Regions from separate parts of the Mus musculus genome. Here regions 1, 2, 3, 5, 6 and 7 are each reported to be linked to region 4. The links are microRNA targets in miRTarBase. Many come from high-throughput screens and were not tested one by one. Region 4 holds a microRNA gene; each other region holds the end of a gene's coding sequence. Distances are from middle to middle.

Region 1 (4,068 bases), 47 Mb from region 4:
CCCTTGTTGGCCCTTTTAATTGTTCATTATTTGCATTACTATCTGCATGGATATAAAATAGTCATAGCTATAGTTAAGCAAACATGCTACATCCTCTGTAGAATGACTAGCTCCAGAACACATACATGCTTTTTTTCTTCCCAGCTGAAACTGAACCCCATGAGGGAAAGAGGAAAGTGGAATCTCTGTGGCCCATCTTCAGGATCCATCACCAGAAAACCCGCTATATCTTCGACCTCTTTTACAAGAGGAAAGCCATAAGCAGAGGTAAATGGCTAAATTTCTTGACCTTTAAAAAAACTGTTACTGTGTGTCCATACTTATGGAGGCAAGCATGTGTTTTGACTTCCGTGTGAAGGTTGTAGGACAACCTGCAGTTTTGGTTCTCTTTGCCATGTGGGTCTGGGGGATCCAATTCAGGTCATTAGACCTATCTAGAAAGCATTCTTGGTCCCTGGGCCATCTTGCCTCTTGGCTCTTTTGTACTTGAGTGGCTTTCAGGATTTATACAGTAGTTTATAAAAAGCTGGGTCTGGTGGCACATGCCTTTAATCTTAGCACTCAGGAGGCAGAGGCAGGCTGATCTCTATGTGTCCTACTTCCAGGACAGTCAGGACTACACAGGAACCCTTGTCTTAAAAAACTAGAAGACGAGGAAGAGGAGGATGAGAGAAAAGAAAGGGAACAAAAGCCAAGTGTCATGGTTCAGACCTATACTTACACACTTGGGAAGCAGAGGCAGAGGACTAGGGAGTTCCAGCTAACCCTTGACTGTAATGTGTTGTGGTAAATCTCCAACCCAAATAAGCCCATGCAAGGAAAACACAACTCAATACGAATACAAGCTTCGTGCCTAGACTGGGCAGATCTACTCCTACACTGCTACAGCTATGAGATCCCTCTTAACTTGTGATTTCTCTTGGCCACGTGCTGCTGCTCCATTTTCCTTCTACCTCGTCCTCCACTTCAGTGTTCCTCTCTCCTTCCTCTCCTCTTTCTCCCCCTCACTTTTTTTTCCCTCTCCCCCCAAAATTTTTTAGCTCCACTTCCCCTCCACTGCCCAATCACCGGCTCTAGTCTTTATTTTACAAGTTAAAATGGGGAGAAGGCTCACATGAAGTCACCCGAGTAATGATTCACTCCACGTCCCAGGCAGCCCTCTTGGGGAAACAGAATTAGCATCAAAATACAAATAGCACTAGGGAAATCCACAGCAGTAGTGGGAGATCGTGGCTCCAGAAATGGAAATTAAAGCAATGATTATCTTTGCAAACCCATCAGTCATCAGTTTTCTTACCATGAAAGCTGAAGTCATTTGTGTGTGTTGGTGTTGTTATTTTTGAAATAAGGCTACACTCTGTAGCCCGGGCTGACATGGAATTTATTATATACAGACTGACCTCACACTCACAATGCCCTACCTGCCTCTGCTCATTTCTGGGATTATTGGCTTTTGTTGCTGTTTTTAAGTTTTGTTTTTTGAGACAGGGTTTATGTAGTCATAGTTGTTCTAGAACTCAATTTATAGATCAGCCTGACCTCGAACTAGAGATTGTTCTGCCTCTGTCTCCCAAGTGCTGGGATCAAAGGCTCATGCCGTCATACTCAGCCTAACTTTTCCTTTCAGTCCAAGGTGAAGGCAGGTTTGTTACGCCATGTTCTGATGTCTGTCCCCAACTTTCTGACAGAACTCTATGAATACTGCATTAAAGAAGGCTATGCAGACAAAAACCTGATTGCAAAGTGGAAGAAGCAGGGCTATGAGAACCTATGCTGCCTACGCTGCATTCAGACTCGGGACACCAACTTTGGCACCAACTGCATTTGCCGGGTTCCCAAAAGCAAGCTGGAAGTGGTAATGCCCAGCGGTTGGATGGGGGTTACTTTCTGTTTAAAACTTTGTCTTAGTTGACCATGAGGGTATTTTGAGAAGTAGTTTCATCACTAGAACCCTTCTAGCCACCCTTCTCAAAAGTGAGTCCTGACCAGGGATCCTTTTAAGGTGGTATCTGGGGCTGGTCTCAGTACTGTCAGTGGGCGAGTAACTGCAGCAGACCTCACTCCTTAGGGAGTAGTGATGGCAGTGGCTCTCAAGTGACAGGAGGGCTATGCTTTGAGGCTGGCTGTCAGGTGACCTATCTATCCCTCGAGTCTCACAGGCACATTCATCTCTGCATGCCTTCTGCTTTGTTCCATAGCCAGGACTTGGGAGGTGGAGGCCAGCCTGGGCTAGTACTGAGGTCCTGCTTCAGAAGAAAAAGTGCTTTCAAGGGCAGGCCAGGCACCCACAAGCAGTAGCTGGGCTCCAGTCTCCACATCATTGAAATGGAGAGCCAGACGGAGGTCAGAACAGACAGTCCATCCTTTGACTTTGTGTCCTCTCAGTACACTGAAGCAAGTCTTAATTCCCAGAGTTTTCATTGAGTGCAGATGGCCTCAGCTCAGCAGGTAGCTCTGTCCTCGGTATCAAGGGTGGAGCTCTGTATGATGTGCTGAGCCATGGCTCGTGGGCAATAGCTGCTTCCCAAGAAGCTCTTGGTGTCCCAGCCTGTGGTTGAGGTTTAACTGAGATTCAGGGCTGGAATGTTGCCTGAGGTGGTAGATGGCCCCCTAGAATGCGTGAAGCCCTAGAAGCCCTAGGTTCCATCTCCAGTGCCCCATAGAGCCAGATGTGCAAGTGTACATCTGTCATTCTAGCATTCAGCAGCTGTTGGCAGGACCAGAAAATTAGGGTCATCCTATATATGAGACGCACTCAGTTAAAACTAACAGAACGTTACCAGAGAACTTTATTTGTTTAGAATGGGCTCGTGGCCTCCAGAAAAGGAGGTAAAGACAGCATTGCTCCAGGACCCCCATCCCCACCCAGTGGCCTCAGGAACTCTGGCTTTCGCCCTCTTGGCAGTGACAAGTGTGTCTTGTTACAGCAATCACACACAGACACTAACTTCCGCCTGGTAGTAACTGTTCCACGTCACAAAGGAGCTGAGACGCCCAAGTAGAAGTGTCCAGTAGAGATGCTCTGCAAGGGAGTGTGCAGGGCTGTAGCAGTGTGTTCAAATGTTCTTCTTCTGTTTCAGGGTCGCATCATCGAGTGCACACACTGTGGCTGCCGGGGTTGCTCTGGCTGACACCCTTGACTCCTCTGCATCCTGGTCTTTGGACCTTGGACTTAAGACTTATTGGGCCACTGCCTGAAGCAACTCTTCTCAGAGTGGTGCTCAGAGAAAAGACCCAGGGGGGGAAGCATGAGCTGTACAGGTGACGACTTTAGTGTTCACCAGCTGAGATCTGTAAAAATAAAACCTTTAGACCTCCTCGCTACATTCTTTCTTTTAAGAGTGCCAGGGGATGGGCTTAGTCCTGGCTCTGTGTTGTAGATGCTGTGTGACCATGATCGTTGTCAGGATGCTTTGGCCTGGTGTGGGACCTGCTATGATCTGGGCACCCTGAGCCCAGCATTTGCCTGTAAAGTGCTGTGGTGCCTCTGGAATATTCTTGGCCTCTGAAGTTGAAAGGACTCCCAGGCTCCCCCAGCAGTGTGAAGGCTGGGCACTTGTCATAGCCGCGTGCTCCGTCATCCGTCCCTAAGGCCGCCAGCCTTGTCAGTGGTGTCTTGGTCCCCAACAGGCTTGTTCTGGAACTCCTGCCAGGGGTGGGGGGCTTCCTCTGCTGGCATGGCTTTCAACCACTGCTTGTAATAAGCCCGAAAGCCATCAATCTTCTCCAAGTAGGTGTTTTTTCCTTTGTACTATAATTAGAGATGCACAGGACTGTCAGTGTGAGTGAGATACAGGCACAGAAGCCTCACTGTGAAACCCATAGCTTTGTACAATGAACACAGGATATGCTAAGAAAGCAGAGCTTTCAGAAATGTTTTCAGCCAATCTAAGCTACTGCATATCACCCAAAATTATCCCAAGTCACAGCAGCTGACCACTGTCCTTCCTTCCCTCAAGGAGACTACCAAATAATTTGTCATTAGATTCATTGCTGTAAAGGGCCAAGTTCTGGAAAATCTGTTATTTGGGAATAGGCCATACCACTCTTTGCCTAACAGCCGTCTAG
Region 2 (4,068 bases), not on the chromosome of region 4:
TAAGTTAGCTAATACTTCCTCTTGAATTTCTTTCTCATTGATTTTCTTCACCATTAAAGTTAACATAGGATCAACTTCATTTCTTTCTGAATTGAGCTATTCAAAGTTAAAATTAATAGAGCCAGAAATAGCACCAACCCCATGTAACACACACTGTAGTATCTTTGTTTCCTTCATGGGCCATGTCTCCCACTGTAGTTTAGACTGGCCTCACATTCATATTTATCTCAAGCTTCCCTTGAACTCCTGAAAATCCTACTGACTCTCCAAGTACTGGGATTACAGGTGTGAGCCACCATTGGTTTAAAGGAGAGCCAATATATTTTAACATGGCTTCACATGTGCTAGGCAAGCACTCAACCACTGTGCCACATTCCCAGCTCTACCTTCCTGTTTAATTGAACATCTTGTAGCAAGAAGAGGAGCCAAATGAATACACAGGGGATTGAAGACATCAGAAAACTTCTGTTAAAAGGAAAGAAAGTAGCATGCTCCTAAAGATGAGGATTCTGGTTTCCAGGAGAGAGCATGCAGTAGAAACCCAGCATTTACATATTCTGCCAAGTAAACCTGGACCAGAAATTGTCATCCTCTGTCTGTCTTTCTCTCATATTTTCAGCCCTTAAATTCTCATATTTTTACAAAATTAAATTTGTAATGTTTAAAACGAATGAGAAAATCTGTAAGATAGTAAATATGATTCTGTCCCCATAAGATCTGAAATCTCTCAATGGGTAGACAGGAATCTATGTCCACATATAGAAGTTGTAAGAACAGTAAGCAGTGTTTTCCTTAGCTTATCAATAATCCCCAGTTGCAGAGGATAGTGCAACATTAAAGTTCTAAACTCCCAAGGCCTGTAAAATTCCAATGTCAAAAGAATGTGTATATTATGGTATTGAAAATGATTACTCATCTATCAAAGGTTTTTAAGTGTTAACACTTTTAAAATTATAGTCAAATTTTATATAATGTCCTACTCCTGGCTTGCAATACATGTGGATCCTCTTCAGTTATGAATGGAAAATGCCAAGAAAATAGTTCTTGCACTTTAAAGGCATTCTGCATATTCCCACTGGACTTTGCAACATCTTCCATATAAATTAAATGACAATACATGTCATAAAACTCCAACTTTAGTCAGAAAATAATTATTAATATTATAATGGTACTCATACAACAGATAAAGGCAGTGCAATCCTTAAGACAGGTTTTAACCATTAACTTCGGACTCCCCCATGTTCATCAAGTGGACTTGTGCAAGTCACTGGGTTAGTATTTGCTTAGCAGAACTGTGAAGTACAGGTAATAAGACAAGGTCAGCTTTCATCCCTGCTACAAGGCTATGTGAAGGAGGAATATCAAAACGTGGGCTAGGTAATTAAAGGTGCCATTTAGAATACACTAAACCATGTCAGCTATGATTTTACTATGAAAAAATATGACAGTGATAGACGTTACTATAAAACACTAGCAAGCTTTATAGTTTGTAAGTGCTGTGTACACAAATAATATGTTTAACAAAAATGATAACATTAACCACATTCTGTTATATAGACTGGATCCTTAAAATACACTAATTTATAAATACTGAAAAAGCAGATAATATGCCCAGGCAATATAATCATAAAACCTTCAGAAGGAAAGAATGTTTTGTGGACCATTTGTGTGTGTGTGTGTGTGTGTGTGTGTGTGTGTGTGTGTGTGTGTGTGTGTGTATGGCAGTTTTAAGTTATTAGTTTTCAAAATCAGTATTTTTTTAATGGAAACAACTTGACCAAAAATCTGTCACAGAATTTTGAGACCATTAAAACAAGTTTAATGAGAAAAAATAAAATAAGCTTGCTTCGTAGCCCTTCTGTTCCTCTATGGAGACTTAGTGAGGCTGGTGAACACAGAAGAGTAAAGCAGTGTGAAGGGTCTGCCTAGTCGGGCAATCAGCTCTCCTTACGCTCAAGACTTTCAGAGAAGGCAGCCTGAACTACCAGAGCTTCACACTTATATGCTGATGATAGCAAAAATATTAATCCTGAAAGTTATGGATGTATGTCACATATATGCAAACGTAGGTCATATCTTTATTAAATTCAAAATGCTAAGGCTTTTTTTTAGAAACTAATGTTGGTTTCTCTATGATTAGTCACAAATAGATTTACTGAAAAATCTTATGTACTCTGTGATGAATAATTTTCACTCTTAACTTGTAGGATATATGTATCCCATACCTTTGAAGCACACTTTTAAATTCAATATATCACTGGCAGTAATGATAGCTTTTAATGATAGTCTGAAATTCATTATGAGATTTATAAAGTAAAGCTGAATAATGGTTTGCCAAACCTGTAGTTAAAGTAAGGAATTCATGTGCTTAGCCCATATCCACACACAGTTCTGTGCTGTTAGAGGTCTTTGGGCCAGTGATGCACAGCCTATAGGAAGTGGTTCCATAGGTCATAGTGTCTGAGGCCACAGTCATCTCAGCTTGTGTAAGTACACCCCATGACATTTATACGATGATAATATCACCTAAAGGCACAATTTATTCCTGTCATTAAACAAAGCACAACTATCATAATCACAGTGATGCTGTTTTAATTATTTGTAAAGATATATATTTAAAACCAATATTAATATATTTATGTGCTAAAATAATTTTAGTATATTAACACAGAAGTGATAAATATTGCATATACTTTAGAATGAATACAGTCTATACCTTGGTTCCATAAATTATCAAAGTTTTTCTCTAATGACCTTTTGAAGTACAACAAATAAATCTATTTTCATATCTTACACATATAACTTGATAGAAAAATTCTCAGGAAGGTGTGTTATTTTAACAGTCTGACATTTCATAGTAAGACTTCATATAATTAAGAATTTATCTTTCTCTGGCAAGGGGTGAGTGGTCAATACATGTATTATTTTCCATCCTCATTCACTCCTCTCTCTCCAACCTAGCAACTTCCTACCCACCGCCATCAGTGGTCCATCACGCAGCACTCATGGCTCATTGGAAAGATCAAGAAAAGCACCTGCCTACTGGAGTGTTTACAAGACCAGAGACTAGACATAACAAAAGGGAAAAAGTCTTGCCAGAACCTCTGAGCTCTCTTTGTTACCAGGAAGCCCAAGAAGAAAGGGAGGCAGGTACTTCCCTACCTCTCATATGCGCCTTTCTTGGTGACTCAAGTGGTATATGGGACACCTGTAACTCCTCATCTACACTGTCCTTAACGTTTCTGTATGATTGTTTCCAGAGTGTGGTCATCATTTTTAGGACAGACTTCTTCAAGAAAAACTATCAAGTATAATATCTGTCCATTGGGGAAGCTAAACACAAATACAATATAATTAATGAATGAGAAAGGAACCAAAATAGTTAATCTTTTATCTCTGTATATTTTTCTACAAATACGAGAAGTGAATTTTGCCCTAATGTGAATCTGTATTCTTAATGTATAGAGTGTAAGGCTGAACTGTCTGAAGGAACTTCTAGTTCCAGCATAAATGTCCAAACCAAACATCAGTTATTTACATCATGGGAAAACTTTAAATCTTTAATTTGCATCTCTTTGTCTTCGGTGGAGAATGTTAATTTGGGCAGCATCTGGAAGCATCTGTCCCATGGCACGTGGAATGCTCATTCTTCTCCTACTGGAGGTGGTGGCTCGCAGAGCTTGTACAGCCTAGAAAGGACACAGGACAGCATAACAGTCACTTATAACACCACTCTTACCTGAATATTTTTTATTGGTAGAACAAATACATCAACACTAATTTCTTGGCTCCATCAGCCATCACTACACTGATTATACTGTAGAAAATAGCATCTGAATCAGCTTAATCTAGTTTTGGTCCTGTGATTTCGAAAATGCTTCTCTTTCTTTGTGCATGTTTAGAAGGCTGATCATTTAACAGTGGTTCTCAACTGGCCTAATGCTGCAACCGGCTAATACAGTTCCTCAGAGTTTGGTGACCCCTAATCATAAAATTATTTCACAGCTACTCCCTAACTGTGATTTTGTCACTGTTATGAATCATAATGTGAATATCTAATATGCAGGA
Region 3 (4,068 bases), not on the chromosome of region 4:
GTCAGGACTGAGAGCTCACCACCAGCACCCCCAATCTCCCTAGGGAGTGACCGGCTGAGCCCTGCTGCCATGAATGAGCAGGCCCTCAGGATTCGAGAGAGCCCAGCCAAGGGCCTGGGCAACCACATGGAGAGGGACATCAGATCTGCGCCCAGCTCTCTCCACCTCCCCCGAAAAGCCAGCAGGCCCCCTCGAGCCAGTACAGCTGGCACCTCACAAAGGACCATTCCTGGGGAACAGATTTCTTATGGCACCCTGCAGAGAGTGAAATACCACACCCTTTCCTTAGGTCGAAAGAAATCCTTACCTGAGTCCAGCTTCTGATGGAAACATTTCAGTGTTGTGTGAAGCCGCCATCCCTGGGGCTGTACACTGAGAATCTGTAGGCTCTTGTGTCCAGAGTGGATTTTCTAGAATCCAGTTGACTTGTGGCCTCCCCCCACCCCCCCAAAAAAGAAAAGTTTGGTCTCTGTAACTCTTGTCATATTCCAATAACCTGGTGTCAAAGTGGTTGGGTTCCCATTGCTGGGTTTTGATACAGCCTGGCCACTAGACGGTGCTGCTGAGCCCAAATTATCATGACAAGGCTAAAATTAGTGTTTGGTGTATGTAAGTCCAGGGCCTGCCATAGTCTACTAAAAAGACTCTGATGTCACGGCAGATACTCACTCTCACCAGCTTGTGTGCCCCTAGCTTACATGCCCTGCTTCTTTTCTTCTATTCTCCCTTCTTCCTCTCCCTCTTCCCCTCCCTCCCTCCTTTTTCCCATTCTTTCCTTTCATTTTTTTAAAAATAAAGGGCTTGTAAGAAAGATCTTTTCCTTTTCATGCTTGTCTTGGATAAGTGTCAAAGATGCCAAGAAAAGAAAAGAATAAGAGATAGAGTGTGGCAGTGGCGGTGAGAGATGGGAGCGTGACAGTGGCGGCGAGAGATGGGAGAGAAGAGACTGATATCTCAGGAAGATTACTTAATATATAGCAACAAAATTGTATTACAGCTTTTCACGGTATTTTAAAAAGATAACTATTTTGATATCAGAATAAAGAAGGTTTTTTTAAAAAAAATATGAGATCTATGCACAATTTTAATAAAAATTGTGTTTGTGAAACTTGCAAATGGCGGACTGAATTACTGAAATTTGAAAAGTGACTCACTTCATTCCTGTTACATTGCATAGTCAGTCACAGCTTGTTGCTATCTATCAGAATGCAGTTGCCTGTGTTGTTTCTGAAACTTGAGAGGGAAAAAAAAGCTCTTAATTAAAATTATTTGTGCCTCCATCCATCCTTTCCTTTCCTTCATTTAAAGATGTTTTAAATTTGTATATATTTTTGAGGCAAGAGTCTCACTCTGTAGCCCATACAAGTCTTGTACTCTTGGCAATCCTCCGGCCTCAACCTTCTGAAGGATGACAGGCATGAGCCACCGTGTCTAGCTTTTGACTTGCTGTTTCTGAAGGAGACTAAGGCCTCTTTCTCTCTCTGGAAGGAGCCAGCACCTATGAGTCTGAGGCTGCCTGGCTGACCTGGTGATCGCTGGTGTGCTGCTATGTATTTGCCTGCACTTAAGGACCTGGTCTAGGATTACCTTAGAGTTTCCTACAAAGACATTGCAAAGCCTAGACCCAGGACTGGGGCCAGCAGCAGCTCATTGGCAGCCTCTCAGGTAAACATTCTCTGGAGGGTGTTTCCTTTCTCACGGGATATTTCTTCAAGACTGCTGGCCACAGGAATGCAGTCGTCCCCCAGACCACCGTGTGCGTTGTTGCATGTCTCTACAGCTTTTTTTGTTTTGTTTTGTTTTGTTTTGTTTTGTTTTAAATCAGGAGGAATGGGATTCCTTCTTTTCCCCAGTGAGAAAGACAATTTGCCTTTCATCTAAGCAACAGTTGCAAGATAGAACTAACATAATCAAGAAGCTGGAAGACCCAACAATCAGACCCCCGGGGGGCTACAAGTTCCCTATCAGCCCACATTTCTTCAGTTCTTAAATTGTGATATGGAAGATGTGGCGGCTGATCATTTGCTCCTGGCTGACACCAAGCTCAGTCTCACTTTGTTCTCTAAAATTGAGTCGTAACTCAGGCTTGCACCCGGGCCTCTCTCTTGTAATGACCTAGACTCTGAGATTATGAGTGCCTCCCAGTTTTAAGAAAAAAAGAAAAAAAGATCTGTTACATTGTGTGTGTGTGTGTGTGTGTGTGTGTGTGTGTGTGTACACAATGGCACCTTTGTGCCACAGAGCACATGTGGACATCAGAGGACAACTTTATGGGAGCCAGTTCTTTCACCATGTGTGTCCCAGGGACTAGACCCACGTCATCAGGCCTTGGTGGCAATCACCTTTACCCACAGAGCATCCTTCTGGCCCTCATTATAATCCTCTGGGGTAGGTACTGTTAACTCTGCTTTACAGAAGAAGGAACTGAGGCACAGAGTTTAATCCACTTAAGGTCACACAGCTACTAAGTTACCAGAGCCAGGATTTTTGCTCACTGCCCACTCTAAAATAATCTGTTCAAACCAAATTAGGGCAGGCAAGCGCTTGGGGATGGTTTAGTAACCTGAGACTTGACTTGGTTTGGTTTATACACACATACACCAGCAGCAGCAGCACTCACCAATTTGATTGGCAGCTCAATTCCTTTCCAAGTACATAGACCCCTTTTTGAGCTATGTACCTGACAGCCTCAGACCCCCACCTAGCCGAGCTACACATACACCCATCTCTGCACAATGGGACAAGTTTCTCCTACTCTCACAGCAATAGAACATAAACAGTTTCTGTTCAGATGTATCCCCAATTTATCAGGAAAGAATGGAAAGGCTGATCCAGTTTGAACTGGTCTTGAGAACATATGGAAGCAAAACTGTCCTCAAGTGAAGTTAGAATTCCTACCATCTTAACCTGTGCCTACTTGGGGGTGCATATGATTAGAATCAGGTGCATTATGGGAAAAGACATGCACCACTAGGAAAATGATATCATGACATAATCTACCAATCAAAACAGAGAACCATTCATATTGGGCCTTTTAGCAACCATATTCTTCCTTTGAGCCCCATAAAAGGAAGCCTCAAGCAATAAGCAGGGCCTGTAAGTACTCTCCTGTGTTCTGCTGTTAATCTTGATAGTGCACTCCTGCCTAATCTGAGCTTCACTTTGAACTAAGTTGCTTGCTTTCACAAATAAGTGTAAGCCCTTATTCCAGTCCTTTGAATAAGAAGCCACTAAAGGAACCTGGGACCATCTGGCCCAGACCCCAGCCATGGGTTGCTTCTGGCCTTTCCTGCTCATCAGAATGGTGAATTGTTTTCCACTGGGGTAAAATCAACAGCTTGCCCCAGGGGCCCAGGTCTCAGGGGTATTCATTCCAGCAAGAAGTCGGCATCTGAAAAACTCCTTGTCACTGGGCTTGCTATTTGATTAAGTTTTGATAAATTCTCTAAATCTCACTTGTGCACGAAATTGGGGGACTGAGTGCAGACGTGATAGGAATAGGGCAGGTGGCAGGTTGTTTTCTGTGTCTGTGGCCTTGACTTTGTTCTTCCAGAGATGCAATTTTGCTTTGGTTCACTTTAGATCTTTGGCAGGATTGCTTAAGTGATGTCCCCGAACTTACCATAATTGACTGTAAACATCCCCAGGCCTCACTGGGTGGTAAATACTGCTTCAGGCTCTGTCGGGATAATAGGACATGAAATACACAAATTACTGCCGTTAAGCAACCTGTAGTAGTTGGAAAAGACAATGTAGTGGATGTAACCAAGGTAATTTCAAACTTCAAGTATTAATGGTATAAATATGTGGGTCACTTGGCATTGAGTGGCATTCTGCCACTCGCTGAGACCAAATGACTTCTCGGGATGTTGAAATAGCCTCAGGAGAGAACTAGTTTCCACTGGGGCCACTTGGCTGACAAAGCCTCCTAGGGTCTTGAATTCCTGTGAGTGTGGCCCAGGCAAAAAAAAACGATTTCTTATGGGAAAGGCTGGGGAAGGGGGAAGGAGATGTGGATGAATACAATAGCTCCTGCCAGCTTGTCATTGATTGATTGATTGATTGATT
Region 4 (4,068 bases):
GGGAAAGAGACAGATAAAGACAGAGGTGGCAACGTGCCACAGAATCTTCAGCAAAGTCACGTAGGAGACCTTCATCCAAACACAGACAATAAGGAGTAGGTGTTCCCCCCCAAAAGGTAATAGAACATCCCATTACACCCAGCCACTAGACACAGAAACCTGTGGAAGATGTGGCCTCCCTGCAAACACACTGTGGGTTTCAGGATCTGATGGGCTAAGGGAGCAGCTGTACTCTCCATGTGAGATGCCCCCTCATGACAACCACAGACTCCTTTCCTAAGTATCAAAGTCCTAAAGTCCACAGATAACAACAGAGCAACTCAATGATTTACCACAAATATCTCAAAATAAAACTACTAATGTTTCCAAAGAGAATAATGTACTTATTGAAAACAGTGTTCGATTTTTTTGCAGATCTTTTTGCCTTAGGGTACATACTGTAGCGAGTGGTCAGAGACTGTTTTAAAGCTCTTTAGGCTGGAAAAGGTATGAGGCAGCTTTTCACTACTGGAACGAAACATTGAAGATAATTCACTGAAAAGGTGGAGGAGTTTCTTTTGGCCTCTGGTTTCAAAAGACGCTTCTTATAGTCTGATGGTTTTACTATACTGGTTCCATCCATCTAGTGACTCCAATAATATCTCCTTAGTTGTTGGGAGGATCCATTGATGCGTCTCATCATTGGAAAGTTTCACTGATGTCACTCAGAGTTGAATGGCCCCACTGATGGTTCTCATGGTTGAGGCACCACTGGCCTGTGGTAACATCATATATGATGATTGGAGTCATGTGGCAGACAAAAATAGGTTTACCTCACAATGGCCAGGATGTACAGAAGAAAGAGGAAAGGACCACAGGTCCAATAATTTCTTCAAGGGAATACTGTGTGACCTAACTTGCTCTTGCTAGGAGATTCCTCCACCACCTCCTTCAGCTGCTTAAGACTCCGTCCCTCAGAACTGTTTGTCTCAATTGGCCATTTAAGTTTAATAAAAGTAAAAGACTGGTTAATGATAACAATGCATCATAAAACCTTCAGAAGGAAAGAATGTTGTGGACCATTTTTTTTTGTGTGTGGCAGTTTTAAGTTATTAGTTTTCAAAATCAGTACTTTTTAATGGAAACAACTTGACCAAAAATCTGTCACAGAATTTGAGACCATTAAAACAAGTTTAATGAGAAAAAAAAAAAAAAGACTCCGTCCTTAGAAAACCATCATTTCCTCTCTTCATTACTGATAACTGATTGGGCTCATTCCATTTATTTGCTATGATAAACGCTGCTTCTCAGTAAATAAGCACTCTTTAGATTTGTGATTTATGAACCATGATAATGACAGTAGAGGCGTCATGAAACATATCCTTCCCCCTCCACCTCCTTGAATCTGATAATGTCCCACAGTGAAATACAGGAAAAAATACTGGTCATGATTTTTTTTTCTGCTCACACATATAACAAAGGCAACCATATTGAACTTACCATGCTATGAAAACTTCACACCACATAGAAAAGCTCAAGTGAATGAGTTGTCATATGAAGAGAGAGACAGACCGGCCACTAGTCAGAGAAGTTAGTCACCTATAATGTGAATGAAGGCTCCATCTTTGAAGTGTATCTCTAGCCACAGCTGAAGCTACCTCAGATGACACTAGGTAGCCCCTTCGGAGGTCCTGAATTATATAACAATGAGGCTTTTAAATAGGCTTTTAAGACTCAGATATGTATTGCAGAGAAATATAACAAAAACCAGATGTTTAATTATATATAATAAATTATATTTTCAGTTATAAACTTATTTTTTCTTATGGCTGACCAAATAAATTCTCTTCACATGTAATGAGGAGAAAATGGAAGGTTACATTTTATTTCAATCAACTTCTAATTTTAGACATGGCCCTATCCATCATAGCTAGCTATACATATATATACTTTATAACTACTGGGTTCAATAGTAAATTTGTTCAAGTTTTGTTTAACTCTCTGGAAAGTTGCCTTCATATTAACAAAGTATTTCCTGGTTTCATTAATGTCTCTTGTTTCTACAGCTTTTAAAATATTCTGTGCCATTCAAATACTTAGGTGATGTCTCAGAAGAAATCTAGATAATAAAATGAACCACTGATTTCCAATAAAGGACATTACAGCTCTGCTATTCCAGTTGAGAATTTCATCTGGCTTGGTCAGAGTAAGATACACAGTCACATCTGTACCATGAAAATATTTAAAGATCAGGACCACAGAAGGAATATTTTTCTTTTTTTTTCCATGTTTGCTTTATAGAAAATAATATGAATAGTGAAAATTTTTATTATTTATTTATTTATTCATTTATTTATTTATTTATTTATTTACATCTCAAATGTTGTACCCCCCTCCCTGTCCCCCCTCACAGAGTTCTTTCCCCCATCCTCCTCCCTTTCATCTCTGAGTGGGTGATCTACTCCAGGCATCCCCCTTCCCTGGGGCATCAAGTATCTACAGGAAATTTCCATTCTAGGGCTCTCTTCTCTTTGGTAAAATTAGGGTCTATTAAATTTCTGAATATGCATGTAAACTCAGTTAAGTAGAGCTGTATTTCTGACTTAAAACAGTGATGCATAGTACTATTTACTAAATGACACTCCATACAGAATTACTTCTTATGCTGGATAAGGAAAGAAACCTAGTTTCTATTCTTTGCCTATTTGTATCTAGATACTTCCTTGAATGATAAAGATTATTTTTATCTTAATCAAATAAATAATTTGAAAATATTAATGGTCACCTATATTACCCATATGCAAACTACAAGCATAAGACATAAGAAGAAATCTTAGCTTTATCATTGGAGGTGCCATACATATAAAATGCACTCCATGGGGGAAAAAAAACCTAGTTAATTCTGCAGTGCAATGTTGTTTCTATATTTGGTAATTTTGTGGCTAATTATCTATACTTAGAACATATATGAGTTAGGAATATCAATGTATATGTCATTGTAATTAATATATTTTAGTTATATATTCTCTATCTTCCCAACATATCTTTTATTTCTCAATTACAGAGCAGAAATGTGTGAACCTTTAAAATAAATAATTGGATTAGGAAATCATTTTCATAGCATGATTTTAATGTTATTTTTCTGGACATTTTTAGCATGCTGTCAGTTAAAAACTTTACTATAAAATTTTTATTATAATCTATATAATCCAATGTCCAAGAAATGCCTTTGTGTGGGCCTTAATATCACATATTTTATTGTTTAGTAAAATGAACAGGTAACAGTAAAAAAAAAAAAAACTGCGCTTGCTGTCAGGGATTTGAAACTCTATGGGGTACATGATCAAAAAAGTATTACTGTTGTTCGTACACTTCAGCTGGAGTTCTGCGGTTAAAAGGGTTTTGCTTTCCACTGAGAGCCCACACCTGATCAAATATTAGCAGGAATCTTTCAAACAGTGAACAGAGCAACCAGCAGCAGGGCTCATGCCCCTTCGCCAGCAATAACAATACAGTTTTTAAGGTTTTGTTACCTAATTAGCTTTCTATTAAAGCTGATACTTCTAGAAAGAGGAAAGGCATTGCACATGAGAGTGTTTACTGTTTGTTCACAGCAGAGTTTGCAGTGAATGAAAAGGCGAGATTTGTTCTTCATATCTCATATTTGGACACTTACGTGTTGGTAAGCACTCACGAGTTTAGCCGCATCTTTAAAAAAATTGGTATTTCTTATACACTTAATGTCTCCCTGAATAATATGGGAAGTTATGAAAAATGTGAATATTAAGGTAAGAAGAGCGGAGATGGAAAAGAAGCAGAACCAGGCTCAAGCTGTGACATCATTTCAGAAGCCAGGGCGGGAGCAGATTACTCCTAAGTCTAGCCAAGGCATACAGATATCTGAGCACAGAGATCTGACCAACGTCTCCACATGTGTAAGTTACTCCTATCCAATCAGCCAAGCATTCGTAAACAATGGTATACTAAATATAGGAAAGAGGAATTAAAGGGTTAAATATGGTGATTTGGGTTCAGCAAATTCAACCAAACCACAGAGAGGATTCTGAACATAACTCCAGTCAGCATATA
Region 5 (4,068 bases), not on the chromosome of region 4:
CTCAGAAGCTGTGTAGCTCCTGTAGTCCACTCTCTCACCTGTGCAGACTAGTCTCTGAGGGATCTGGGACCCAAGATGGCTCCCTGACCTGGTCAGGCCGAGCCCTCCCAGGCAGATACCTCTCCTCTGGCTGGGAAGGTGCCTGGATGTCTGGATCCTGAAATGGGGTCTGTCCCAGAAGCTGTGTTGCTTCTGCAGTCCGCTAGCTCACCCTTAGCAGTCTGTGAGCTGACCTGTGCCAACTGATCTCTGATGGAACCGGGACCCAAGATGGCTCCCTCCCCTGCTCTGAAAGCACCCTCCCACTTGATTTTTGTTCTTAATGGCATTAATTTATTTTCTTCATTATCTGAGATTTAGGTGTCTTCCTTGTAAACAGAATAAGCGAATGTAAGACCCCTTTGTAGTGGAGTATTTCATCCAGAACCCATGGATTTGTAGGAATTGAATGACATGTATTTTGCCATTTCTTTTGTTTTTCAGGGTCAATGGTGCCATTAGCAACTTTGAAGAATTTCAGAAAGCTTTTAACTGTCCACGAAATTCCACTATGAACAGAGGTGCAGATTCCTGCCGACTCTGGTAGCTGGAGTGCTGGTTTCTGCCTTCCTGGCATAGCTGAGGAATGCCAGTAGAGGACGCATTAACATACTTAGCACCTACTGCTTTCTGCCTATATTTCCTTGAAGACTTTTATTTTTAATGCATTTTCATTATTTGGGTAGATGATTTGCTTCGATCTAAACAGTATCTGTTCAAAGTCATTGGGTTTATAAAAGGAATTCAAGAACTGAGCCAAATACTTTTCTTTTCTTTTCTTTTCTTTTCTTTTCTTTTCTTTTCTTTTCTTTTCCTTTCCTTTCCTTTCCTTTCCTTTCCTTTCCTTTCTTTTCTTTCTTTCTTTCTTTTTTTTAAAGAAAGCCAAACCAATGAAAAAAAAGTGTCAAGGCTATTTGGTTAAACTGCTCCTGGCGATGTCCCTATTATCCATTTCTGTTAACCACAGCTCGGTGGTACATGACATTTCAATCTACAGCTTTGCAGGGGGCCTGAGTAGAGTGTATCCATAGAAAGGATCAGTCAATGAAAATTGTCACCCTCAATGATAAAGACGTGTGCCCTATGGTGTACAGTTATTACACAACATTTCTTAATTCTAAGGTAGTTAAATTAGAAATGTGTTGGATCTTCATTTTATAATTTCTTTTCTTTTTTTCAATTTTTATTAGATATTTTGTTCATTTACATTTAAAATGTTATCCTGAAAGTCTCCTATACCCTCCCCTCACCCTGCTCCCCTAACCACCCACTCCCACTTCTTGGCCTTGGCGTTCACCTGTACTGGGGCATATAAAGTTTGCAAGACCAAGGGGCCTCTCTTCCCAATGATGGCCGACTAGGAAGTTTTTCTCTTCAGGTTTGGAGTCTATTGGACAATTGTATCTCAGAACTTCCATCCGATGTAGCTAACTGCCCTGTTTAAGTAAGCATGAACAAACATGGCATAAAGGTGAAGGATTTGGGTCTATAAAACAGGGAAAAAACCAATACGTCTTTAACTGCCAGCAGCATTAAAAACTATTAACAACAACCAATCACACAACAATAAAGATAGTAGGAAATGAACTCTGCAAACGTTGATCCAGTCCCTCTGTATGATGGTGAGCATCTGTCTGATGGATAGCAGTCAAGGAGCAGTTCTGATTTTGTTTTGTTCTGCTCAGCTGTGTTTATTTCCTGACTGAATTGAGTAGACACTGAGGAAAGAATGTTTTGTTTCCATGTCAGGAACATATGGCTTTCATTTCCTTTTAGCATAATGATATAAACGCCACGCTGAGGAGGGGGCAAGATGCTCTTCTGTCTCAGCCCACTTAATGTTAACTCTCCTTAAAAGAAAATCTTTGCAAAAGCTTCTAGAATGAAAGCATTTGGTATATCTGAATCCAATTTAAGCAATCCTACCTAGATCTAAAGGACATAGCTTTACTCTTCACATCTTATGAAAGGTTTATTTTTTTTTCTAAAAGCAGTACTGTATTTTGATCTTTAGAACATTATTTTTTTAATCAACACCTATAGTGTTAATTAACTTAGTGTTAGTGTGTATTTATGTAGGGCATTTTTATCACATTTAAGAGTATATGTAGGATAAAATTGTAATGGCATTGAAGTGGTGAGTACTTCTTGTTTTTTTTTTTAAATATTTTTAATCTAGTATAGGCATTTTCCTACCCCCAACACATTATTCATTGTACATGGCGTGCTGGTTAAGTGGGCCAATAGAAAATTTTCAAAAGCAAAATGACAAATTCAGATGAACCACAGGAGGTCAATTTTGCATCCTTGTGACTTGTCATTCTTTTATAAAAGAAATGTAAGTGTGAACCATATCCTTTTGTAACCATGGGAACTTCCAAAGAGAGAAAAATGGAAGGACATCATCATAAGGAAAACAATTACACTGCATTAGTCTGAGGAGAGTGATTTTCCCCTTGACTTCCTCCTCTCCGAATGGATACACTTCTGAAGGGCAGCAGCCTTTTCTTCCTCTTATCCATGGTTTAAAGTGACCTTGGCTTGTATTTCTAAACACAAACAGCATCATGTGAGGTGTTAGAAATATATGTGCCTTTTCTCTGGTGTAGCCATTCTGATTTGTCAATACTCATTTTTATTCCTGAACACCGAAGTTTGCCAGGCTTATATAAATAGTGCATTCCTTCTAAGTTTCCTTTTTAACAATTCCAAGCAAACACATTCCTGCAGGTCAGAGAGTGTGTTTGAGAAGACTATAGATTTATGACTTTGGAAATGGTATTGGTTTATTGGTTAAGGACGACTGGTTAGTGATTAGAGTTCTCCCAGTTTCTGGATGACAGGATTAGTAACTAAGTATTTTGATCAACTTGGATTTTCAAGAGATACAAAATTACTCTTAGTAGCCACACACATTTTCTACAAGTGCTAGCTTTTTAAGTGTTTTGGTTAAACCCTTCAAACTACAATATTGTTCTCTGTGCAGCTTGATTTCCTAAAGAGACACTGATTAAATGGTAGAGAAAGTCAGACATAATTGAAGAATGGAAGAAAAGCAGGGGGAGCTAGCCTAAGGAAAACAAGACAGCATCTTTTTTGCTCCTTGATATACATGTTCACTGGAGGAGAACCAAAAAGTCTTTAAAAATAATTATGGTAAATCAAAGGGAAATTAAATATTGGATCTCAGACTAGGGCTACAGCAACACACTGCTCTGACTCATATAGCAGCTGTTCTGCAAGTGGATTATTAACTGGGCATTTGAAGGAGTTTTTCTTTTTTAATGTGTGTGGAATTCTCTTTTGTGAGTCAAGGACTCTGTAGATTTAAAGCTGTGTTGTTTGGCCTTACTACCGTTGTCCAAAGTTTGCTGAGTTTTTCACCAAATACTCAGTATAGGCCTCCTATTCCTGCCTCACTCTCTTTTATTAGATGGATTGGGGCATGACTGCTGTAAGATCAGATTTCATAAATTATCCTCAAGCTTATTTAGTGCCTTACGTCAATGGAGCTTAAAGCATAGCCCATAAATTTTATCTTATTTAGCCCTAGAGCATCACTAAGAAGAAACTAGGAACTAAGGCTCAGCAGACAGAGAGTGCTCATGCCAAGAGAAATGGGAAAGCTTAGAATTGCTTGTCCAAGATCTCAGGGCATGGAAGGACAGGTTTTGTGCTTCGGGATACTGATCTTTGGATTAACTTGCATCTCTTAGAGTATCTTCTTTTCTAATATGTTTATTCCACCAGCATTTCTAAAATTGCTTATCATTTGGTAGCCACTGCCTTTGATATTTTTAGCATAATGTCACAGTACATCTTAAATTGTGGAAAACTGCATGATTGTTCCATGGAATAACATCTTTATCACTAGTGGCAATGCTTTATTGGTTTTAAGAAAGATGTTCTTGTACTGTGCAGTTTAAAAACAATCTATGTCATTACTATCAGACTGGTTTGGTTGTGATTTTTTTCCTTTGTGAAGCAATGAGAATCATTATTTTAAGGACAATAAAACATTTGTTGAAG
Region 6 (4,068 bases), not on the chromosome of region 4:
ATGCACCCCTGCCTCTGCAGTCCCACCGTGCCTACGGCGAGGAGGGGCAGGGTGAAGTTTGGGAGGACCCCGATTCTTCCTAAGCCCTTTCTTGATGAGGCTTCTGTGGTTGGGGGAGGAACCCCGATAAGGACTAGGGACTCTCTTCTCAGTCTCACCTCGGACTACCCCCAAACATTGCCCTGCTCTTCCGTCCCGTAGCTGCGCTCTCGCCCTTCTCTGGGACACGTCGCATAGGCCATCCCTACCAAAACCGGACCCCCCCGAAGCGCAAGAAGCCGCGCACCTCCTTTTCCCGCTCGCAGGTGCTGGAGCTGGAGCGCCGCTTCTTGCGCCAGAAGTACCTGGCCTCCGCAGAGAGGGCGGCGCTGGCCAAGGCCCTGCGCATGACGGACGCGCAGGTCAAGACCTGGTTCCAGAACCGACGCACCAAGTGGCGGTGAGGCGCGGGGCGCGGGCGGGCCGAGTGGCGGGGTAGGACCGGGACGCCCGCTGACCCCGGCTCTCCGCTCGCCCAGGCGCCAGACCGCGGAGGAGCGCGAGGCCGAGCGGCACCGCGCTGGTCGCCTGCTGCTGCACCTGCAGCAAGACGCGCTGCCCCGGCCGCTGCGGCCACCGCTGCCACCGGACCCGCTTTGCCTGCACAACTCGTCGCTCTTCGCGCTGCAGAATCTGCAGCCCTGGGCGGAAGACAACAAGGTGGCTTCGGTGTCCGGGCTCGCCTCGGTGGTGTGACCGACACCTGCCCGACGAGCGCCAACGTGGCCGGGTGCCGTACCGCCAGCGAAGAGTGAGGAGCAGAAGGCCCGCGGCCCGCGGCCGTCCTCTGAGGCTCTTTGGTCATCAGTGGCCCCTGGCCCACACTCTGACTCCGCCCTTCAAGGTTTTGTTTTGTTTTGTTTAAAAAAAAAAACCCCGCTGAGATGTGGGTTGCAAGAGCAACCTGCAGGATTGTGGATGAAGCAGGGACCCTGCAAGGCTGCGACTTTGCCCTGAGTGGGCTCAGAGCTCAGGTCCTGCTGGGAAGGGACCACAGAGCTGGTGTAAAGGCAGATATCAAAGGACAGCGGGGGAGGGGTAATGGAAGAGGCGCTGGCAGTAGAGAATGTGGCCTACTGTGACAGGGACCTCGTCCCTCATCTGTAAAACAATAACTAAGGATTCCTTCTAGCCTCAGTCTCCAGTTGTCTCCTGCCCAATCTGCGGACTCTCCATCTTGAGTTTTAACGCACTTATGCTATAGGTAAGATAGATTCTTATATACCCAGAAGATACACTCTAGAAAGAGAACCTGACTCCCGTGCCATGCAGGGTCAGAGAGCCAAGATGGGGAGCCGGTGGAGAATTCATGGGCCCAGTGTTAGAGTGAGCAAGAGACATGCTTTGGGACTAGCAAACCTAAGAAGAACCAAAGATGACCTTAAGACTGGAGATGTGTAGGCCAGGAAGGGGAAACTGGGGGCAAGATTAACAGTAGGCAAAACTAATGTTAGATTTAGAGAGAGAGAAAAAAATGCTAATGCCTGCCTTTGGGGGAATCTCCATGACATCACAGGGGGTGGAGACAGATGAAATTTTGGGTCTAAGATCTCCTGGTAAAGGCGGGAAGGCACAGGGAACTCTGGGGAGTTACATGGATTGAGCCTTTCTTTCCACAGTATTCTACAAACACATTTATGATGTGCAGGATGGTGGTGGATTCAGAAATTCGAGTAGACTAAGGGCAGAAGGGAAAGAGTTAGGGAGAAGTGAAGGATGGCGGCTTTAAGTTGGAATGTTCTTAGGAGATGGCACTTGCAGTAATCCTGACAATCTGAGTTTGAGCCCTAGGGGCAAGTTTGTGGAAGAAAACTGATTTCTACAAACTATCCTCTGACCACTGCACATGTGTTGTGGGTGTACACACACACACACAAACTATAATGAAAAATTAGAGAGACTGCAGACTGTAGGTGAGTCAGAGGGCGCAGGCTTTTGGTTAAGTGGAGGATGGTTACAAAGCTCTCTGGCTTAACAGGGAGATTTCGCCTCACTCCACTGTCCCCCTCTTGTTCCTGGCAGAGGCTAGAACACTGTGACGGGACACAGACCTGTGGTAGCCAGGTCACGGATGCTCTGTGCTAGGGACAGATATAGCAGCACAGAGGCTTGGGCGGAGGCAGGCAGGAGGCTGCACCTGCAGAAGTCGGCCTTTCCTTTTGTGTCACCTCTGACTCATGGATGTTGTATATGGCACTACAGAACTAAAAATCAAACTTGGCATCATAGAAAAATCATTTTTTAAAAAAAAGATTTATTTAGATGGGCATGGTGGCACATGCCTTTAATCCCAGCACTTGGGAGGCAGAGGCAGGTGAATTTCTGAGTTCGAGGCTAACCTGGTCTACAGAGTGAGTTCCAGGACAGCCAGGGCTACACAGAGAAACCCTGTCTCGTAAAACCAAAAAAAAAAAAAAAAAAAAAAAAGATTTATTTATTTAATGTATATGAGCACACTGTAGCTGACACACCAGAAGAGGGTACTGGATCCAATTACAGATGGTCATGAGCCACCATGTGGTTGCTGGGAATTGAACTCATGACCTCTGGAAGAGCAGTCAGTGAGTGCTCTTAACCCCTGAGCCATCTCTCCACCCCCCACCAAAGTCTTTTATAGTCTCACCAAGGAGACAAGGTTGTGTGAGGCGCCGCATGGGTGGGGTGAGTGGCATCTGCTCCCATGTCCATGGACAGAGAAGAAAAGTATGCTTGTTCTGAACTGTGGCGCTCTCTTCCCCCACTCCTAACAGTTCTTGGCTCTTGGGTTCCAGGAGTATATCTGACCCTACACTTTGGGTCTCTAAGTCTGACTGCCTTGGCGCTCTCTGATGAGGTTTGGCTCCATTCCTTAGGCAGTTAGCTCACTGCAGAACACAGCCATCTCCATACTCCTGGGGAGAGGAAGTTTCAGTCGCTGCTGCTGGTGGCTCTGCTGTTCCTTCTCTCAGCTGGTTCAAGAGGTCTCTGCTCTCACTGGGGGGCAAGTTACTCAGGAAGTATGGAGGGGCGAGCTCCACCAGCCTGACAGAGAAAGTCAGGATGGGATCATCTGTGCCTTCCCCTGCCCCTCACTCCCCGCCCTGCTTCCACCAACCCTCTTCCTACATCTCACTCCCCAGTTTGGTTCCTGGCCCTGGGAGAAGAAGGGCCCTGTATGAGTGAGGGAAACTCACATCTCAGGCTGGATCTCAGAGACAATGCAAAGGCAGTTGTCTTTCGAGATGGAGAAGCTGTGGTACAGCACCCACGTGGGTGGCTGGGCTGGAGTCCTGCGGTTTCGGTAGCTGCAGTATGGAGACAGCTGGGCTACGTGTTTATGGGTGAGAAGCAGATAATTTCCTGTCCCATCTGTGTCTCGGGCCACCTCATTGAAACACAAAAACATGGGTGGAATAAGTAAAATAAGCAATGGAGCACAGAAAATAAAGAAGGCCAAGGTTGGGCGTGGCAGGAATCCCAGCATCTGGGAGCCAGAGGAGCAGAAGTTAGAGGCCAGCCTGAGGTATTTAGAGAGTCTGAAGCCAGCTTGGACAACATGAGACCTTGTCTCATTGTTTGCTGCCTTTAAAAAGAAAGAAGGAAAGAGAAGGGGCTGCGAAAGGAGTAAGAGTATTGTAAAGCCGGAAAGTCGATCTAATTAGGTCTGCTCCTGCTTCACCATAGGACATATTCCATGGCCCCTTGTCCTCCAAACCCTCAGACCCCTATTCTAAGAGATCATATGACACACACACACACACACACACACACACACACACACACACACAGAGAGAGAGAGAGAGAGAGACAGAGAGAGAAAATGAATATCGTCAGGTGGCAATCTTGGGTGTCATTCCTCAGGTGCCATCCACCTGTTTTTGGGGACAGAACCTGGAACCTGCCATTAAGCTAGGCTGGCTAGAGAGTCCCAGGGACCCAAGTGTCTCTGCCTGCCCAGTGCTAGGACTACATGTGAACCCAGGGTTCTGGGGATTGAATTCTGTCCTTGAGATGGAGGCAGGTGTTTTACCCACTCAGCTCGTCCCCCAA
Region 7 (4,068 bases), not on the chromosome of region 4:
GCCCTGCCCAGTGTGAGTCCTGAGAAGCGAGCTCAGTTCCTTTGTGAGAGCAGTATGTGCTCTTAACTGCTTACATCATCTCTTCAGCTCTAACTGTAATGATTGGAAACCTTTTTCTAGTTCCTCTACTAGACATTAAGCTATCTGCAAGAACATCAGGGAGTAGGTGATGGCTTGTTACTATCAGAGTTTCTGTAGCCCAGAGAAACCTGGAACTTGCAATCCTCCTGCCTCAGTAACTGGAATTACATAGCACTTTGGGATTTACAGGTCTGTGTCACGGTGCTCAACTTATTCACAAAGCCTTCTTCTTTTGTATTTTTTGTTTATCTGTTTTTTGAAACAGAGTCTCTCTTTTTTAAAAAAGATTTATTTATTTATTATATGTAAGTACACTGTAGCTGTCTTCAGACACACCAGAAGAGGGCATCATATGTTATTACAGATGGTTGTGAGCCACCATGTGGTTGCTGGGATTTGAACTCATGACCTTTGGAAGAGCAGTCAGCGCTCTTACCTGCTGAGCCATCTCTCCAGCCCTTTTTTGTTTTTTGGTTTTTTTTTCGAGACAGGGTTTCTCTGTGTAGCCCTGGCTGTCCTGGAACTCACTTTGTAGACCAGGTTGCCCTTGAACTCAGAAATCTGCCTGCCTCTGCCTCCTGAATGCTGGTATTAAAGGCGTGTGCCACAGAGTCTCATGTTGCCCAGAATAGCCTTGAACTTACAATGTAGTTGCGGCCAGCCTTGAGCCTCTGGCCTTCTGCTTTAATGTCTCAGTGCTGGGAATAGACATGCCATTATATCCAGCATCCATCTTCTTCAAGCATGGAGCATCTGCCCTGCTGCCTATGCCGAGGCGCTAGTCTATGAATTGTTTGGCTTCCAGTTTGGCTTGGAGCAGGAGCTTGCCCAGTGAAGAGCTCCTCCCAGGGACCTTCCAAAAAAAAGGTGAGGAGAGAGAACAGTCAAGGCTCGGCCTGAGCTAGTAGGCATCCCTCACTGTGTGCCTGCGAGTTGGACCCTGGAGCCTCTGTTAGAGAGGAGTCTTGAACTCTAGGAAAAAGAGCAGGAACTTGGGGAATGGAGATAGAACTGTGGTCCCAGCAGACCTGACACAACTGAATTTGACCAAGCTGCTCATCTTGGGGCCTCAGTTTCTCTAGCTGTGTGATGGTAGAACTGTAACGTGGGCAGAAATGTTCTCATGAGATGGACCATTCCTTCCGGCTGACCTAGTCAGAGCATGCATACGTAGGTATGTATGGGCGTACATATGTATGTATGTATTCTTGAAATAGAGCCTTACATAGCTGGCTAGCCTCAAAGTTGCTATGAGCTGAAGCTGGCCTTTTAGGGTTGGGATTATAGACACGTACTGCCACCGTTGTTTGCCTTTCCATTTTATGTGAATGAGTGTTTGGTCTACATGTGTATCTGTCCCCAGCAGAGAGTGCTGGATCGATCCCCTGGAACTGGAGTAACAGGCAGTTGGGAGCCCCCATGTGGGTAGTGGGAATTGAACCCAGGTCCTCTGTAGAAGCAGCTCTTAACTCTTGTTTCTCCACCCTTGCTACGGTGTTGCTAGGGTTTAAGTGCCTTAGGCTGGAATTGAACTTAATGTGTAGCTGAGGGTGGCCTGGTACCTCATGTTCCTCTGGCTTCTGCCTCTCCAACACAGAGAATGCAGGCGTGTACGGCCCCAGCTCAGAGCTTCCCTTGACGCTGCCTCTGCTCTTGCGATGAGCTTCCTCCCTTCCTAAGCCCCTGCAGTTCCAGTGTCCAGTTGCGAACACCAGCTCTCCAATGCGACCACCTCCCAAATGTGGGCCACTGATCCCAAGGACATAAGGCAAGGTCCAGAAGGTTGAGCTCCAGGGTAGGAAACAAACAAACAAACAGGAAAAGTCATTGTCCAGGAGACTGAGGACAGGTTTTGGAAACAGATGTTCCAGGTTTGAATACTATCTTGTATTTCTAGCTGTATGACCTCAGCAGTTTTCTCATACATTTAAGGTGGAGACCAGATAGCCTGTGCCATCCATCCTAGCTAGGCATGTACCCTTAGCACAATGTAGCCCAGAGGAAACACAGTGGAAGGCAGCTATTGCTGTGAAGGGAACTTGCATGGTACAAACATGTTCTGCATGCCTAAGCCCTGATCTGGCTACTGTGGACAAGCTGTGGGGACCTTCAAACTAAGAGGAGTATCCTGGTTCTCGTCCCTGGATAGGGAGGTTCTTGCAAGTTGATGTCCAGGATTTGGTCCAAGGGATACTAATTTCCCAGATGCATTATGGGTCCCACTATTCTGGCTCAACTCCACACTATGCAAATGCACAGACACAAGCATTTATCCAAAAAAACCATTTTTTTTTTATTGAGTAGGGTTGGGGACTGAACAGGAATGCACTGGGGGCCATAACCCGATTGGCAGAGGGGTGGGGGTACTGGCTCTTGTCCCGCCTCCTCTCGGGCACCTCAGGGTAAGGCCTGGCCCCCAGGCCATGGCTGTGGCGCTGAAAGCCAGGCTGGAGTGAGAGATGGGGGTGCATTTTACAATCCCGACTGCCTTGTCGGTTTGCAATTCCCCCAAATGGCCACCAGAGGGAAGCCGGGCCTCAGCGCAGAGGAATTCTCGGTTGCTCAGGTGATGGCTTCTTAAAAAAATAAAAAACCAGAGGCTGGTGTGTTCTCCCTGCAAACCCGAGCAGTGCGGGCCTGGGGAGGAGGCTCTGGTTTCTATGATTTCTCTGATAAAAAATAAGCAAAAATAACAAAATACGTGGTTTCTCTTTTTCCATCCCGCCCCCTTCGGAAACTGAGGTCAGAAATGGGGTCATGGAGGCTGAGGATACCCTGATATGAGCTAGATTTCTAGGTGTAGGTCTCTTTTTTCCCCCTTACCACCCATAAGCAAATTTATAAATAAATAAATAATAAATAAATAAATAAACCTTCTCTGTATGTCCACATATATAGAGATAAATCTTTCTCTCATCTAGGCAACTAAGTGATTAACCTCTGACTCTGGAGCTTCGAAATTCAAAAGCGACATGATCAAGGTCAAGTTTCTGGGAAGGAAGATCAAGGACTTGGAATGGTACTGTAAAATTCCCAGCCTTCTGGAACTGCAAACCACTTGGGCTGTGAGACATTTCCGAGTGGGACCCTGACCATCTGGAACATTCTAGAGCCACGCGGTCAGCTGGGGTGGGCCCCCCGCAGGAATCTTGAATAAGATCCTAAAACACCCAACGTCCTAGAACTCCAGAACCAGCTGGGTCTTAAGGGCGTGGAGCTGGGGATTGGAATTAAGCCCTGGTGGACCTAACACTCTGGAGTTCTATAGTAGTCAAAGCCACAGGTTCACCAGGATGAAACTAGACATCACTAGGGGACCGGGACCGGAATGGAATCTTGGAAGTGGAACAGCAGCAGCAGATGGCCCACAGCACCTTCTGCACATCTTGGTTGCGAAAGGCGTAGATGACAGGGTTGATCATGGAGTTGTAGGTGGCTGGGAGCAGGGTAAGATAGGTGTAGAGACGGGGAGAGTCGGCATCTCCCAGGAGGCAGTAGACAGTGAAGGGCAACCAACAGGCAGCAAAGGCGCCAAGCACCACAGCCAATGTGGCGATGCCCTTGCGGGTGGCCACGTAGTGAGAGGCAGGCAGCAGGTGTCGTTGGAGGGCGATCTGCTGGGCATGGCGGCAGACGATGCGGCAGATCTGGGCATAGAGCTGCAACATGATGCCAAACACCATGAAGAAGGCGATGGCCAGAACCACCAGATGGTTCTTGGAGAGTGGATAGACCACACCACACGTGGTCAGGCCATCCCGGCAGTTCCAGGCCAGCACGGGAACCAGCCCCAGGCCCAGGGCACCCACCCACACCAAGGCCAGCATCACATAAGTCCGAGTTACCGTTGTCTCTGAGTAGTAAGTGAGAGCATTGTACAGGGAAAGGTAGCGGTCAACGGTAATGGCCAGCAGGCTGCCGATGCTGGCAGTGAAGGCCATTGCTAGCACGCCGACCAGCATCAAGCTCATCTCTGGTGAGCCAATG

What was found. Region 4 holds the annotated microRNA mmu-miR-703 (AAAACCUUCAGAAGGAAAGAA, at 1,029-1,049, shown strand). A microRNA usually pairs through its seed, bases 2 to 8, with sites in the 3' UTR of a target mRNA and lowers its output. Matches are read on the target gene's strand: a 7mer-m8 pairs with bases 2 to 8, a 7mer-A1 pairs with bases 2 to 7 and ends in A, and an 8mer does both.
Region 1: miRTarBase lists Ptcd1 as a target of mmu-miR-703. Seed matches in the 3' UTR shown: 7mer-m8 at 3,303-3,309.
Region 2: the mRNA of Prex2 is a reported target of mmu-miR-703. Seed matches in the 3' UTR shown: 7mer-m8 at 1,630-1,636 and 7mer-A1 at 566-572.
Region 3: miRTarBase lists Usp43 as a target of mmu-miR-703. Seed matches in the 3' UTR shown: 7mer-m8 at 1,046-1,052.
Region 5: the mRNA of Phex is a reported target of mmu-miR-703. Seed matches in the 3' UTR shown: 8mer at 2,007-2,014.
Region 6: miRTarBase lists Tlx2 as a target of mmu-miR-703. Seed matches in the 3' UTR shown: 7mer-m8 at 881-887.
Region 7: miRTarBase lists Gpr3 as a target of mmu-miR-703. Seed matches in the 3' UTR shown: 8mer at 2,950-2,957.

The regions. Positions count from the first base shown.
Region 1 is chr5:145,144,755-145,148,822 of GRCm38, forward strand. Ptcd1 (pentatricopeptide repeat domain 1) reads right to left here. Exons shown (of 9, transcript NM_133735.2): 9 at 2,624-3,751. The coding sequence ends at 3,578. Bud31 (BUD31 homolog) reads left to right here. Exons shown (of 6, transcript NM_001310771.1): 4 at 145-267; 5 at 1,689-1,855; 6 at 3,081-3,324. The coding sequence ends at 3,131. Among named protein-coding and RNA genes, the nearest start is that of Bud31, 6.4 kb to the left of the region's middle.
Region 2 is chr1:11,297,329-11,301,396 of GRCm38, reverse strand. It overlaps Prex2 (phosphatidylinositol-3,4,5-trisphosphate-dependent Rac exchange factor 2), which reads right to left. Exons shown (of 40, transcript NM_029525.1): 40 at 1-3,689. The coding sequence ends at 3,644. Among named protein-coding and RNA genes, the nearest start is that of A830018L16Rik, 110 kb to the left of the region's middle.
Region 3 is chr11:67,851,737-67,855,804 of GRCm38, reverse strand. Usp43 (ubiquitin specific peptidase 43) reads left to right here. Exons shown (of 15, transcript NM_173754.4): 15 at 1-1,282. The coding sequence ends at 324. Among named protein-coding and RNA genes, the nearest start is that of Gm40032, 9.3 kb to the right of the region's middle.
Region 4 is chr5:98,472,597-98,476,664 of GRCm38, reverse strand. Mir703 (microRNA 703) reads left to right here and starts at 1,001; the gene lies at 1,001-1,109. The region is part of intron 2 of Cfap299 (cilia and flagella associated protein 299); the gene reads right to left.
Region 5 is chrX:157,162,078-157,166,145 of GRCm38, reverse strand. It overlaps Phex (phosphate regulating endopeptidase homolog, X-linked), which reads left to right. Exons shown (of 22, transcript NM_011077.2): 22 at 484-4,068. The coding sequence ends at 586. Among named protein-coding and RNA genes, the nearest start is that of Gm52451, 97 kb to the left of the region's middle.
Region 6 is chr6:83,065,425-83,069,492 of GRCm38, reverse strand. Tlx2 (T cell leukemia, homeobox 2) reads left to right here. Exons shown (of 3, transcript NM_009392.2): 2 at 202-439; 3 at 519-1,168. The coding sequence ends at 735. It overlaps Dqx1 (DEAQ RNA-dependent ATPase), which reads right to left. Exons shown (of 12, transcript NM_033606.3): 11 at 3,213-3,403; 12 at 2,274-3,060. The coding sequence ends at 2,901. Among named protein-coding and RNA genes, the nearest start is that of Tlx2, 2.8 kb to the left of the region's middle.
Region 7 is chr4:133,206,987-133,211,054 of GRCm38, forward strand. Gpr3 (G-protein coupled receptor 3) reads right to left here. Exons shown (of 2, transcript NM_008154.3): 2 at 2,354-4,068. The coding sequence ends at 3,381. Among named protein-coding and RNA genes, the nearest start is that of Gpr3, 3.5 kb to the right of the region's middle.